Linked DNA regions of Mus musculus: regions 2 and 3 are each reported to be linked to region 1. The links are microRNA targets in miRTarBase. Many come from high-throughput screens and were not tested one by one. Region 1 holds a microRNA gene; each other region holds the end of a gene's coding sequence.
Evidence for each region. The annotated mature microRNA mmu-miR-5107-5p reads UGGGCAGAGGAGGCAGGGACA and lies in region 1 at 3,072-3,092, opposite strand. An mRNA with a match to its seed (bases 2 to 7 or 8) in the 3' UTR can be bound and repressed. Matches are read on the target gene's strand: a 7mer-m8 pairs with bases 2 to 8, a 7mer-A1 pairs with bases 2 to 7 and ends in A, and an 8mer does both.

Region 1 (4,145 bases):
CACATGGATGGTATCCTGGCCCTATCAGGGCCTGATGTTAAGAGCCGCGAGCTGCCGTGGGCCTCCTGACGCTGACCCATCAGTGTCAAAATCTATTGCTCAGGAAGCTCGCTTTCTTCCCACAGAAAAAAAAGACAAGGAGAAAAAGGAAAAGAAGAAAGGAAAAAAGTCCCTGGCCAAAGACTCTGCCTCGCCGATCCAGAAGAAGAAAAAGAAGAAGGTAGATTGAGTTCCTGAGGGGTCTCAGGGCTAGGAATTCAAACCCTTCCCCTTCTAACACCTAGACCAGGCCCATGCCACCTTTCCAGTCCCTTAATCTAATGGACCTTGTGAGGAGGAGCAGGGGAGGGGTGATGGGAGAGACCTCCACAGGCGGGACAATGGTCAGCTTTCAGGTTGGCTGGCCAGCGGGGAGCCCACTGAAGAAACAGCCAGCCAGCCGCTTCCTGGGATCAGAGGCAGTTCTGCCCAGGGCTGGTATCAGTGGGTCTCGATCCTTACACCTATGGGGGCGTGGATCCTTCGAGGGAGTTCTGTCCTGGACCTGTGGGACAGCGGTGGTGAGGAGAAGCCACAGAACTGATAGCTTGCTTCCTTCTCTCCCCACAGAAGAAGTCAGCCGAGCCTGCCGTGTGAGGCCCAACGCATAGAGCAGGTACCTGACTGCGTCCAGCCTTTCTGGGCAGCTTGGGTAGGCCCAGTGGGAGGGAGTTGGAGAGAGAGAGGGAGAGGGAGAGAGAGAGGGAGAGAGGGGGAGAGAGGGGGAGAGAGGGAGAGAGAGAGAGAGAGAGAGAGAGAGAGAGAGAGAGAGAGACTTCTTTCCTCAGGTTGGTTGGACAGCAGCTGCTGCTGCAGCATGCAGAGGGTCCACCCTGAGGGAGTCTGGTGCCTAAGCTAGCTGCCGCCCATCCCTCCCTTGGTTTTGTTCCCTTTTGTGGAGATAAAGGTCGGCAAAGCTGACCAAAGCCTGGTTTGTTTTCTTCTCCTAGAATCTTGGCAGAGTGTGACCATCCATCCCCAGGCCTCTGACCTCTGGCCAGCGTGAATTGGGCCTGGACTTTTTAACTTTCCCTCCCTCAGCAGAAGATGATGGCTGGCGCGTGCTGGCCAAACCAGTGAACCCGCAGGGAAGCTGCAGTACCAGGAGGAAGCGAGGTGGGACACACACCCCCTCTGAGTGCTACGTGACATGTGTATAGTATATCTATTTTTTTAAGCGACTTGCCTCTCTCCCTTCAAATCCACCGTGCCCAGAGGCCTCCGGACCTCCCTCCATGTTATCTGCAGAGCCAGCAAGGTCCCGCGTGTGGTTCATCCCACACCCTGGACCCCTGGCGCAGCCTGAAGCCTTGCCCCATCAATTTTTCCAGCTATTTTGGTTTTGTTTTTTAAAGAACTCAGAATAAAAGACTTTAAATATAAAGGTTTGCCTTCCCCATGCATCTGGGACTCGGACTGTTACTGGCTACTTAGGACAGACAGTGTAGTGACCCTGGACATGCACAGGTCAGTACTCAGGGCTCCTTCCTGACTTCAAGCCAAGGCCCTAGGTACTGTGAGTAGGACAGTTTGCTAAAGAGGAAGGCTCAGTGAAGCTCCCCAGGGAGGGAGTTGATGCAGGGACGGCTCCCCGTAGGAAGTGGCCTATAAGCTTAAAAGGAGCTGAAGGTGGGTCAGACGCCAGGTAGATGGCTCAAGTGACCAGGGGGCCTTTGGAAACAAGTTACGATGTGGAGGGAGGCAGTGGCGAACAGTGGTGGCTGGCATGAGAAGCGGGGAAGACCCAGTGAGCTAGGCCTTGAGTCACCCTCTGTCTGGGGAACAGTTCTGTGCTGGTGACAGTAAGAAGTGGGCAGAGCTGAAGTATGTTGGAATAATCACTGAACATTCACCTCAACAAAACAAAAAACCAGTACAGAGAAGGAGCAGGTGCAAGTCTCGGGGACCCTGTGCTCAGAGCCTTGGGACGGGCACGCCATACCCAACAGTCAGCCATTCCATCCATTCTCAAGTGTGGATCAGAGTGTGGGATGTAGGTCTAGATCAGAATACAGAGAGCCTCTCCTTGGCTCGGCTGACTCGCAGAAGTATTTAAACCTACAAAATGGAACAGCGTCCTAAACGTTCATCTCGGAGTCCCTGGTGGTGAGGGATCCGCTCCCTTTTCCTGTGACAGTGGGCTAAAGCTGACAAGACACAGGTCCTGCCCAGACAGACAGCCACTGGCAGCCCCCACCTGCATCCATTCCTGACACTAGGTCCCTGTGTCCACTGCCATCTGTCATCACACTTACGCTGTCCTTAGTCCAGAAATGGAATTGGGGACGGGAGGAATGGAAGCTAGGACGTGATGAGATGTGATTTTAAAACCGAGCAGGAGTCTGTTTCTTTCTGACTGTTAAGTAGACACCACGTGTGTCTGGGACCCATCTCCCCAGTCCATGTACGTAGAGGATTAGATTTAAGGTTGTCCTCGGCCTTGGGGTAAACTAACTGGATCCCAACTGAAGAGGCAGAAGCAAGAGTGTTCTACTTTCTTCCTTTATTGTCACTTGAACCATGATCCTACAGGCTGCTGACAAGCTTGGCTGAGCAAGGAACCTGAAAGGGGGTGGGGCTTGAGGGGGGGTGGCAGGATGTGAGGAGGGGTTACTGGGAGGAGGGGCTTGGGTTCTTCTTCCTTGAGGAGAAGGCAGCAAATGTGTCCAGCCTAGGTTAAGGGTAGGGCATCCCTTGTCCCTGTCTGCGGGCCTTTATCTCAGAGCCCCACATTCAAGACTACTAATGGGTCAGAAATGGGGGTTCCCTTTAGATAGCGGTAGCCAGCAAGGCCCTCCAGCGTCCTCCTTCTGTTCTGACTTCATTTGCCGTGTCCTGGGACGATGAAACAGACACCAGTCTCAAGCCCCAGGGTGCAGGGAGACGGGAAGTGGGGTGTGACATCAGGGAACATAAGAAGGGCTGAGGCACAGGAGAGCAGGGGGCGCTGCTGCTGTGCAGAGCTGGCCTCTGTCTTCACAGGGTGACTGGGAAGAGAAGCACAGGTTGATACAGCTGGGCCACCAGTTTGTTGTCCCTGCCTCCTCTGCCCAACATCTTGGAACTGCAGATCAGTCTGTCCCCCTGCTAAGCTCAGGTAGTACTGTGCTCCCAGCCACCATCCCATTCTAGAAAAACCATCCCAGTGATAGTGATGAATGTCCCAGTGTCACCAGAGTCTGCATGTGGGTGGCCCCCTCTGTGATCCCCCCCTTACCTTGACCCAGTTCCTGCCTGGTCACTCCCAGGCCAGAAGATAGGTCTTCCATGTCCAGTGGCTCTGCAAGGGAAGCATCAGGCTCACTGTTATTCTTACCCCAACACACACACACACACACTGTTGCCACTGTGCCTTGAACTTGGCAAAGGAGGCACCAGAGCATACAGTGTGGTTGGGGATACAGTGAGACTGGTGGGTCTGTGGGACTCCAGTGCAGGACAGCGTGCGGAGAAGAAGAGACAAAGATTAGAAGGACACAAGGAGTTCCTGTGTGGAGAAAGGGGCTGGTGTGTGTGTGACTGATGGTGGATGCTCCCAGGGCACAGCCAACCCATGTCCTGACCCCATGTATACTGGGAGGGACCTTTGGACCCTTGGCCTTCCTAGAGCTTCCTAGTCCTTTAGATTATGTGACACGGTGTCCCCTGCTTACCACTGCAGTTATGGCGCCCGCGGCTCTTGGTGTGAGGAACCTCAGTGCCGTTGGGGAACACACACCAGCAGTAGCCAGTGCTCCCGTGGCACTGGAGTGGCAAATAGTTACCGTTCTCGTCGCACTTGGGACGGAACGCACCCGGGTAGACGGCAGGGATGTGGCTGACTTCTTCCTGGCACTTGGTCAGTACTGAAGGCATGATGAAGACAGTGAGTGGGTGGACTCTGGGCCAGGATCTCAGCAGAGCAGAGACCCACACACACACACACACCACTGCCATGGGCTTAATGCCTATCCAAATTGCTTTCCTTATGGGGTAGACCCATAGCCTAGATGAGAAAACTGAGGCCTGAGTCTGAAACCAGTAAGATCCAAAAAGAGAAAGCATGACTTATAGGTGTCATTTGCCCCAGTGAATAATTATTCTGGATTTTGTTACAGTTTGATTCT
Region 2 (4,144 bases), not on the chromosome of region 1:
ATATCACTTTCTGGTGGAAATTAATGTTTCTCCTTATTGCAGAACACAGATGCTGTTCATCTTGCTTTGAAGTTAAATAATTCTGAGCTAATGGGAAGAAAACTGAGAGTCATGCGTTCTGTTAATAAAGAAAAACTAAAACAACAGAATTCAAATCCAAGCTTGAAGAAGGATGTCATTAAACCTAAGCAAAGACTTAATTTTACTTCCAAAGAAGGAAAATTCCATTCCAAAGAAGGAAAATTCCATTCCAAGAATGCATTTATTGGAGAAAAGGCAGTTCTCATGAAAAAGAAAAAGAAAGGACAAAAGAAAAAAGTACAAATGAAGAAACCAAGAAAACAGCAGTAATAACTGAGGTTGCCTCCTTTCTGTGGTGAAACCTTGCAATGAGTGTCTGGGTTTTTTATGGATTATGTAGAAAATGTGGAGGCATCCACGGTGTCTGGTTTTTGTTTTTGTTTTTTTTTTAATTCATGCTATATGTAAGGCTTCTTTGAAGCCTTGTTCTTAGAAATGTATTTAAAGAAAAATAATAAACATTAATACTCTGTGTTTAGGATAAGTGTTCAAATGGTCACTGTGAGAATACTGATTCCAGGTATAGTCACAGTCCCTAAGAAAGACTTGTGAGCTGTGTAAAACACACACGCACATTCTTCACTTCTCATTTTTCTTTCTCTTGCAATTGTAGTATAGATCTACATTTCTTATCCCATATATCTAATAATTGCTAACCAATAAGACTGATAGGATAAGAGTGACTATCTTCTAATTCGTTGCCAGTGACTACAGTGGTCAATGATGTCCTTGGCTATTAGGTGTGTGTGTGTGTGGAGGGGGGGGTGCTCATAAGAAAAATACTCTTCCAGGAAAATGTGATGCTTAAATTAGTATCACTCAGAATGAAACAGCTGTCCCAGAAAGTTTAAAGACAGCATCTAATAAATGATGTTAATTAAACTGCAGTCTTTAAAGTTGAATGACATGACAACATGGTGCTGCATTCCCTAAGTTCCAGACACATCTTACCAAGCTGGGGCTGGATCCAGGATGAAGTGGGGGAAGCAGGAAGCCAAGGCTGATTCAGGCAGGCAGAGTCCAGTAGGCAAGAGGGTAGGATAAGTTTTCACTCTTTTAGTTGTAAAAGTTCTGTCTTTGGGAAATGCCATGTAGAAAACCTAATGAGGTCTTTAAAACATAGCTCTAGGGGCTGGAGAGATGGCTCAGCAGTTAAGAATACTGACTGCTCTTCCAAAGGTCCTGAGTTCAAATCTCAGCAACCACATAGTAGCTCGCAACCATCCGTAATGAGATCTGATGCCCTCTTCTGTTGTTTGTTTGTTTGAGACAGGGTTTCTCTGTATAGCCTTGGCTGTCCTGGAACTCACTTTGCAGACCAGGCTGACCTTGAACTCAGAAATCCGCCTGCCTCTGCCCCCCAAGTGCTGGGATTAAAGGCGTGCGCCACCATGCCTGGCTGATGCTCTCTTCTGGAATGTCTGGATACAACTACAGTGTACTTACACATAAATAAATCTTAAACAAAAAACAAACAAACCCCATAGCTCTAGAGGCTGGAGAGTTGGTTTCTTGGTTAAGAGCATGCACTGCTCTTCAGAGTACCTAAGTTCAATTCCTAGTACCCACGTCAAGCAGTTCACAACTGTCTGTAACTTGAGCTCCTAGGTCCAACTCCTCTAGTCTCCCCAGACTTTGTGCACTTTTTCACTAACATAACCTACACACACATATATACAAGTAAAAAATAAAAGTGTGGGGCTGGAGAGATGGCTCAGTGGTTAAGAGCACTGACTGTTCTTCTAGAGGTCCTGAGTTCAATTCCCAGCAACCACATGGTGGCTCACAACCATCTGTCCGATGCACTCTTCTGCTGTGTGTCTGAAGTCAGCTACCGTGTACTCACATTAAATAAATATTAAAAAATAAATAAAAGTGTGTAGCTTTTACAGCAGAGAAAGCTCTATTTCCTGTATCCAAGACTGGATAATTTATGGTTGGTTTTCCTTACAGTATTTAGAACCTTTTCAGTTAAATTTCAGCAATTTTACCTGATCACTCTGGAGCATTTTTGCATAAACTATATAAAGATGTAACATTAGATTGTGCGTGCATATATAATCTATGTACAACTTACAGCTCCTGTGAGTGAGCAGGTTATATACATGCATAGATGTAACTTTATTTAATATGTGTATGATGTGAATGTGGAGGCCAGAAGAAAACTCTGGAGTTTTCTCCTTCCAAAGCATGGACTCACTCAGCCATCTCACTGGCCCTAGATACTTTGGAATTCGGTACTGTGTAACTGTTGAAATTCCTCCTTTAGAATGTGTGTGCTACTATGATTGTGTAAATCATTAAAAAATGTATTTTGTAGGAAATTTTCTAAAGATGCTTAGTGTAATTTCTTGGTACGTTCTATCTGATAAAATACTTAATAGCCACAAGACTATGTATATAAGTGGTCAAGAGTGGATAGAAGTTGGCTTTGTTATAAAAGTGCTGGCTAAGTACTGATTAGTCATGAGTATGAAACATTTTTTTCTTGTAAACTTTTTTTCTCCCTTAACATAGCTTCAAAAAATCCTTAAAGGGGCTAGAGAGATGGCTCAGCAGTTAAGAGCACTGGCTATTCTTCCAGAGGTGCTGAGTTCAATTCCCAGCGACCACACGGTGGCTCACGACCATCTGTAATGCTATCTAATGCTCTTTTCTGGTACGAAGGTGTACATGCAGGTAGAGCACTCATATGCATAAATGAAAAAAAAAAGCATTCTTACAATGAGAGGTGCAGGAAAGGCTTGCATCGGCTACCTCTTATCACTGTACCCAATTCTCAGAGACTGCAGCATAGCTTGTCACTGTCCCAGGTTTCGATGTTTCCTCAGTGAAGGGAGCAGTTGCTGTACCAGACTGCCTTTCCTTCAAAAGCCAGCCACAAGTGTGGTGGGTGGGTTCGAGCATTAGTAACGAGCTGGTTGGGAATCTTGATGGGGGTTGTGGAGGAGGGAGAGAACGACAAGACTGCAGTTTAATGACGGCACAAATCAGGGCCACCCATAGACTTTTTTTTTTTTTTTTTTTGCCCTTCTGCATTCCTTACAGGTTAAATTTTTTTGAACGAATTAACCCATTTTTCTTCTCCGCACCAGGGCTACATCATAAAATTATTTTGCAGTCAATCATTGTGTCTAATCTCAGTCACAACGCAATTTACAAAGCAAATACTGCCAGATCAGGCGGCTCAGGTCTTCCTTTAAAACCACAGCTCAGAGGATGAGGCAAAAGGATTGCAGGTTCGAGGCCAGGGCAGACTACACAGCAAGTTCCAGACCCTACTATGCTACAAGGGGAGAGCCCGTCTCAAAAACCTAAAAAGCAAACGCATGCACTTCAAGTCACAGGCTTCCTGAAGGACACAGTGAGATGAGATGCTGTTCTCAGCCGGCTCCCACCTTCGTCTTTCATTAGCAAGGACAGTGGATTAGAGGCTTCTGACTCAGCACGCCACAAACACGTGCTGCCCCTGACCCCCTGGTCACGGGATGACGCACAAATCCTTCTGCAGTGCACGCCCCGCCCCCAGCTTGGCGTCTCAGCCGCGCAGACTGGGTCCATCTGCGCGTGCGCACCAGGCGTTCCCGCGCAGGCACCGCCGCGGACAGCCCGCCGCGGACCTTCCCCCGGGGTCCTCGCGCGCCGGAAGTCCTCGCGCTCGGCCTTTTCCGTCTGGACTGGAGGCAGGCGGCTGCGAGCGGCCGGCGTGCTCCGATCGGTCGGAGCTAACCGCTGCCAGGCGGGCTGCCGCGGCCCGGCGTACGCCCCAGTCGAGCGAAGATGGTGGGCCGGAACAGCGCCATCGCCGCGGGCGTGTGCGGTGCCCTCTTCATCGGGTACTGCATCTACTTCGACCGCAAAAGGCGGAGTGACCCCAACTTCAAGAACAGGCTTCGAGAACGTGAGTGGGCCCCGCGCGCCCCCGAGTGCTCCCCGGCGTCGCGCTCTTGCGGCCAGGGTCCCGCCTGTGCCCGCGGGCCTCCATCTTGGAGGCGACCTGGCTCCATCTTGCTGGCGGTGGAATGCATGCTGATTCGGGGGAGGGGTAGCACTTTTTTGCCTT
Region 3 (4,141 bases), not on the chromosome of region 1:
TATATATTTCTCAAAAATGAAATGAGTTAAAAATAATTGAAATACTAATTTTTTAATGCATAAACTGGTCTGTGTTCTTCCCAGAACATCCCCACGATCGGCGTCATTGCCGTTGTCTTGGCTACACATCTGTGTGATGAAGTCAGCCTGGCAGGCTTTGGCTACGACCTCAGTCAACCCAGGACCCCTCTGCACTACTTTGACAGTCAGTGCATGGGCGCCATGCACTGGCAGGTCATGCACAATGTGACCACAGAGACCAAGTTCCTCCTGAAGCTCCTCAAGGAGGGCGTGGTGGAGGACCTCAGCGGCGGCATCCACTGAGAACTCGGAACACGGCAAACCTCACCCAGCACCGCAGCTGAGAGCGTGGTGAGCAGCCTCCACAGGGACTTCACCCTGCAGCTGCTTCGATGTGCAGCTAGTGTTTTCAAACTCCACATTTTTTTTAAAAAAGGAAAAGAAAGAACAACAGCAACAACAAAAGCTCTGCTCTGTGCACCTCTTCGTCCTATTTATTTGAAGTCAGTGTTGGATTTTGCACAGTTTTGTAAGTTAATCTTAAGAATGGGATTGGAAGGACTTTTCAAAGAGAATTGTATAGTTTATTGTTTTTTAAGGAAGTAATTTAATTTGCAGAAACTGTACACACGTACTCTGCTCAGGTGTTGAGGTGGGAGGAGAGGGGCTTCTGGCCCCTGGATGATGGCTGTGATGCCCGATACTGGGGTCTGCTGCTCTGTTTGGTAGAACTGATGGCAGAGAAACTTCCTGCCTCCAGGATAAAGGGCTTACTCATCACCTCTGGCAGCTGCTAGACAAGTTCATAACCCCTTTCTGCTAGTCCATCTGCCAGCTGGCTCGCAGGACTCAGGCAGGGCAGCTGTCCCGGAGGCTGCTGGTTGGTGAGCCACTGTCAGCTGAGCGCCGTGATGTTGCCCCAGGGTGGAAGAAGCCACACTTCCTACACTGTCAGGGCACTTTTAAACTTCTGGAGGGGTGTGTGTGTGTGTGTGTGTGTGTGTGTGTGTGTGTGTGTGTGTGTGTGTGTGTTCATTCTGCCCTTCCAAATCATCTAAGTGTTATTTAAGGCACTCTGCTGTTTGTATGAGATGGTTCATAGAAATTATGACAAAGCCTTTGTTATCCAGGCCATGGGAAGAGGAAAAAGAAAAGAAAGAAAGAAAAGAATAAAAGCTTTTGAGGAGCCCCTGTGATTTCCTGACTTTGAGTGTTTGTTCCTTCATTCGTTCATTTTAGGAAAATCTCTTCATTCTCTGCTAAGTGGAAACCTCGCCTGGATGCTGTAAAGTGGTGGTCAGATAGGGTGCTTCACTCCTAGCTGTGTGATCTAAGTCATGGGTCCCCTCTGGAGAGGCGATGGGTGCCTTAACTTTCAACACTGGGACCAATTCCATGAGCAGAGCAACTTACTAAAAGAAAGCATTTAATCTGGGGCTCAGGTTCCAGAGGGTGAATCTGTGACCTTCACAGGGAGCATGGCCGCAGGAGGCCGGGACAGTCGCTGAGAGCTCACATCTCACAAGCACAGGGCAGAAAGAGCTAACTGGGAATGGGGGCTTTTAAAACCTCAGAGCTCACCCCCAAGTGACACCCCTCCACCAAGGCCACGCCTCCTAGTCCTTCCCAAACCAGTGGGGGACCAAGCATTCAAATATGAGCCCCTAGGGACCGTTCCCCTTCAAACCACCACAGCAGTTACCAGTTGCCTCTCTGCCAGGCTCTAGCTTGTCCGTTCAGTGGCCTGGTCCCTGGTGTCAGAAGGTGTATGCAGCTGTTTCCATCCATCCGCTGTGCTGGGCCTTTCCTCTGTAGTCCCTCCCTGCCAATGCCCTCCAGTGCCTCCCTCGGGTCACTCCACTGCCCTGCAGCCCCAGGGAATCCTGTCCCCAGTCCATACCAATACTTGTCCCATCAACTTTCAGGCCTGGTCCTGCTGCCAGCATCCTCTTCAATGTTCTATCTGCATCTGTATTGTGTCTGCCCCCTCCCTCCCATTTTTACTTCCTCATAGACAGTGAACAAATGCCATAGATAGATAAAAAGGCTTCCCGGAGACCACAAGCCAATAGGAGATGGTGTGAAAGCATCTTCAAGAACATTTTAATCAGCTCTGGGCATGAACGTGCACATGTGCATGCATACCTGTATGTACATGCAGGTATATGTGGAGATCAGAAGCCAACCTCGAGTAGTGTTTCCTCGCTTGCTATCCACCTTTTAATTTTTGAGACTTGCCAAGGAGGTCAGGCTGGCAGGCCAATGAGCTCCTGGGATCCGTCTACCTGATTTAATTACATTTCAAACACCGTGATAAAGGCAACTTACAGAAGAAAGAGTTCATCTGGGGTAAGAGTCGGCCCTGGTGGAGCAGAAGCAGCAGGAGGCGGGCATAGCAGTTGGAGCAGTAGCTGAGGGTTCATATAAGAACTGCAAGCAGGAAACAGAACTAGGCCCACCCGCAGTATGCACTTCCTCTGAAACCTACCCAGACAGCACCACCAACCTGGGACCGGGTATTCAAATGCCCGAGACTATGGCGAGCATCCCATGCAAACCACCACACTGTCTGTAGCTCAAGTTCTCAGGCTTATGTGATAAGAACGTCACTGATGAGCCATCTTCCCAGCCCCCAACACCTAAGCATCCCTGACTGCACCCCCATACCTGTTTGTGTGGAAACAGACCTTCTCTAAGGTTGACTTCCAGTAACACCAGTCACTGTCACCTAGAAGACAGAACATTTGAGGCACACTGCTAATTGCTAGTGTTTGAGCCACTTTGGCAGGCTAGATGTGGCCTGTTTATTCATGTGCTCCTAGGAAAACATTGGGTGAATTTTACTTGTTTTGTTTTTACCTGCAGAGCCTATGCTCCATCCTTATATTAAGTGTAATTAGTTCTGGCTGTAGGGATGCTTTAGGGATGGCAATACGTATGGGGTGACTCATGGTTTTGGACAAAGCTCAGCCAGAACCTTATAAAATCATGCCACTAATGCTAGGCCTCTTGCAATTCGGTGTTCCTCTTGTTTCTACATAAAAAAGCAACGTCTGTTTCCATAGATCATGGGGGAGAATGTGTCTTCATTATTGGTTGGACCCAGATTAGACTACTCTTACTGAATGATGACATCTTGGTCACCAGTGGTTTGAGTAGCAGCTATGACCCTAGTTACTACAACAAAAAGCAATTGTTAAAGTCAAGAATCCCTTTGCTTTAGCAACATTCCAGTCCTTTGGTTCCTTACTAGATATCAAAGGAATTATAGAATTTGCCCTTGTATTATCTCAAGAGAACATTTTAGACCAGCATTGTAGCATAATTAAGGAATGTGTCTTATATCCTCTCCTTTGAGAAGTTCCCTTCATCCAAATGTATGATCTGTGTGAGCGGGCGAGTGTGCAAGTACACATGAGTGTACATGAACATAGATAGATACATTCAGGAGGTATAAACACACTCCTTATATGAAGAAGATATGAATTTGTATTCACGAAGCAATGGACTCATACAACCAACACTCAGTGGAAGACTCAGAGAAACCAGAAAGGAGGGCTACTTATTAAACATGCATGGCTACTCATTAAATATGCATGGCCACTCATTAAACATGCATACACAGATGCTTTTGACCATGCTCTCTACAGGGAAAGTGCAGGCTTAACAGTTCACTTGAATTGTCTGAATAAGATTTTTACTAATTCCCGATATTAAGAAATTTCTGAGCCAGACATGATAGTGCACATCTTTAATCCCAGCACTCAGGAGGCAGAGGCAGACAGATCTCTGTGATTTCTTTAGGTCAACATGGTCTACTAAACAAGTTCCTGGACAGCCAGAGCTGTTACACAGAGAAACTCTGTCTAGAAAAACAAACAAACAAAAAAAAAAAAAAAAGGAAAGGAAAAAGAAAGAAATTGCAATCTACTGAGCAAAGAAGAAAGATATGTCCCAGTGTGATAGCTCGACTACGCTATGTTCTTTTAGTTACTGTTCTTAAAAGCATGTTTGGAGCCAGAGATGTCAATCTGTTGATAGAGTACTTGCCTAGCACACATGAAGCCCTGAGTTCAGTCCCTGACATAAGCTGGCACAGTGGCACGGGCCTCTGTGGTTC

Region 2: the mRNA of Rbm34 is a reported target of mmu-miR-5107-5p. Seed matches in the 3' UTR shown: 7mer-m8 at 1,434-1,440.
Region 3: the mRNA of St3gal5 is a reported target of mmu-miR-5107-5p. Seed matches in the 3' UTR shown: 7mer-m8 at 1,058-1,064.

The regions. Positions count from the first base shown.
Region 1 is chr18:60,811,033-60,815,177 of GRCm38, reverse strand. It overlaps Mir5107 (microRNA 5107), which reads right to left and starts at 3,102; the gene lies at 3,015-3,102. It overlaps Cd74 (CD74 antigen (invariant polypeptide of major histocompatibility complex, class II antigen-associated)), which reads right to left. Exons shown (of 9, transcript NM_001042605.1): 7 at 3,693-3,884; 8 at 3,257-3,319; 9 at 2,526-3,026. The coding sequence ends at 3,016. It overlaps Tcof1 (treacle ribosome biogenesis factor 1), which reads left to right. Exons shown (of 25, transcript NM_011552.3): 23 at 126-220; 24 at 610-655; 25 at 990-1,423. The coding sequence ends at 636.
Region 2 is chr8:126,945,442-126,949,585 of GRCm38, reverse strand. It overlaps Rbm34 (RNA binding motif protein 34), which reads left to right. Exons shown (of 11, transcript NM_172762.3): 11 at 43-2,414. The coding sequence ends at 351. Tomm20 (translocase of outer mitochondrial membrane 20) reads left to right here and starts at 3,665. Exons shown (of 5, transcript NM_024214.2): 1 at 3,665-3,982. The coding sequence starts at 3,862. LOC115486982 (a long non-coding RNA gene) reads left to right here and starts at 3,989. Exons shown (of 2, transcript XR_003947623.1): 1 at 3,989-4,144.
Region 3 is chr6:72,153,347-72,157,487 of GRCm38, forward strand. It overlaps St3gal5 (ST3 beta-galactoside alpha-2,3-sialyltransferase 5), which reads left to right. Exons shown (of 7, transcript NM_001035228.2): 7 at 85-1,224. The coding sequence ends at 324. Among named protein-coding and RNA genes, the nearest start is that of Gm38832, 6.5 kb to the right of the region's middle.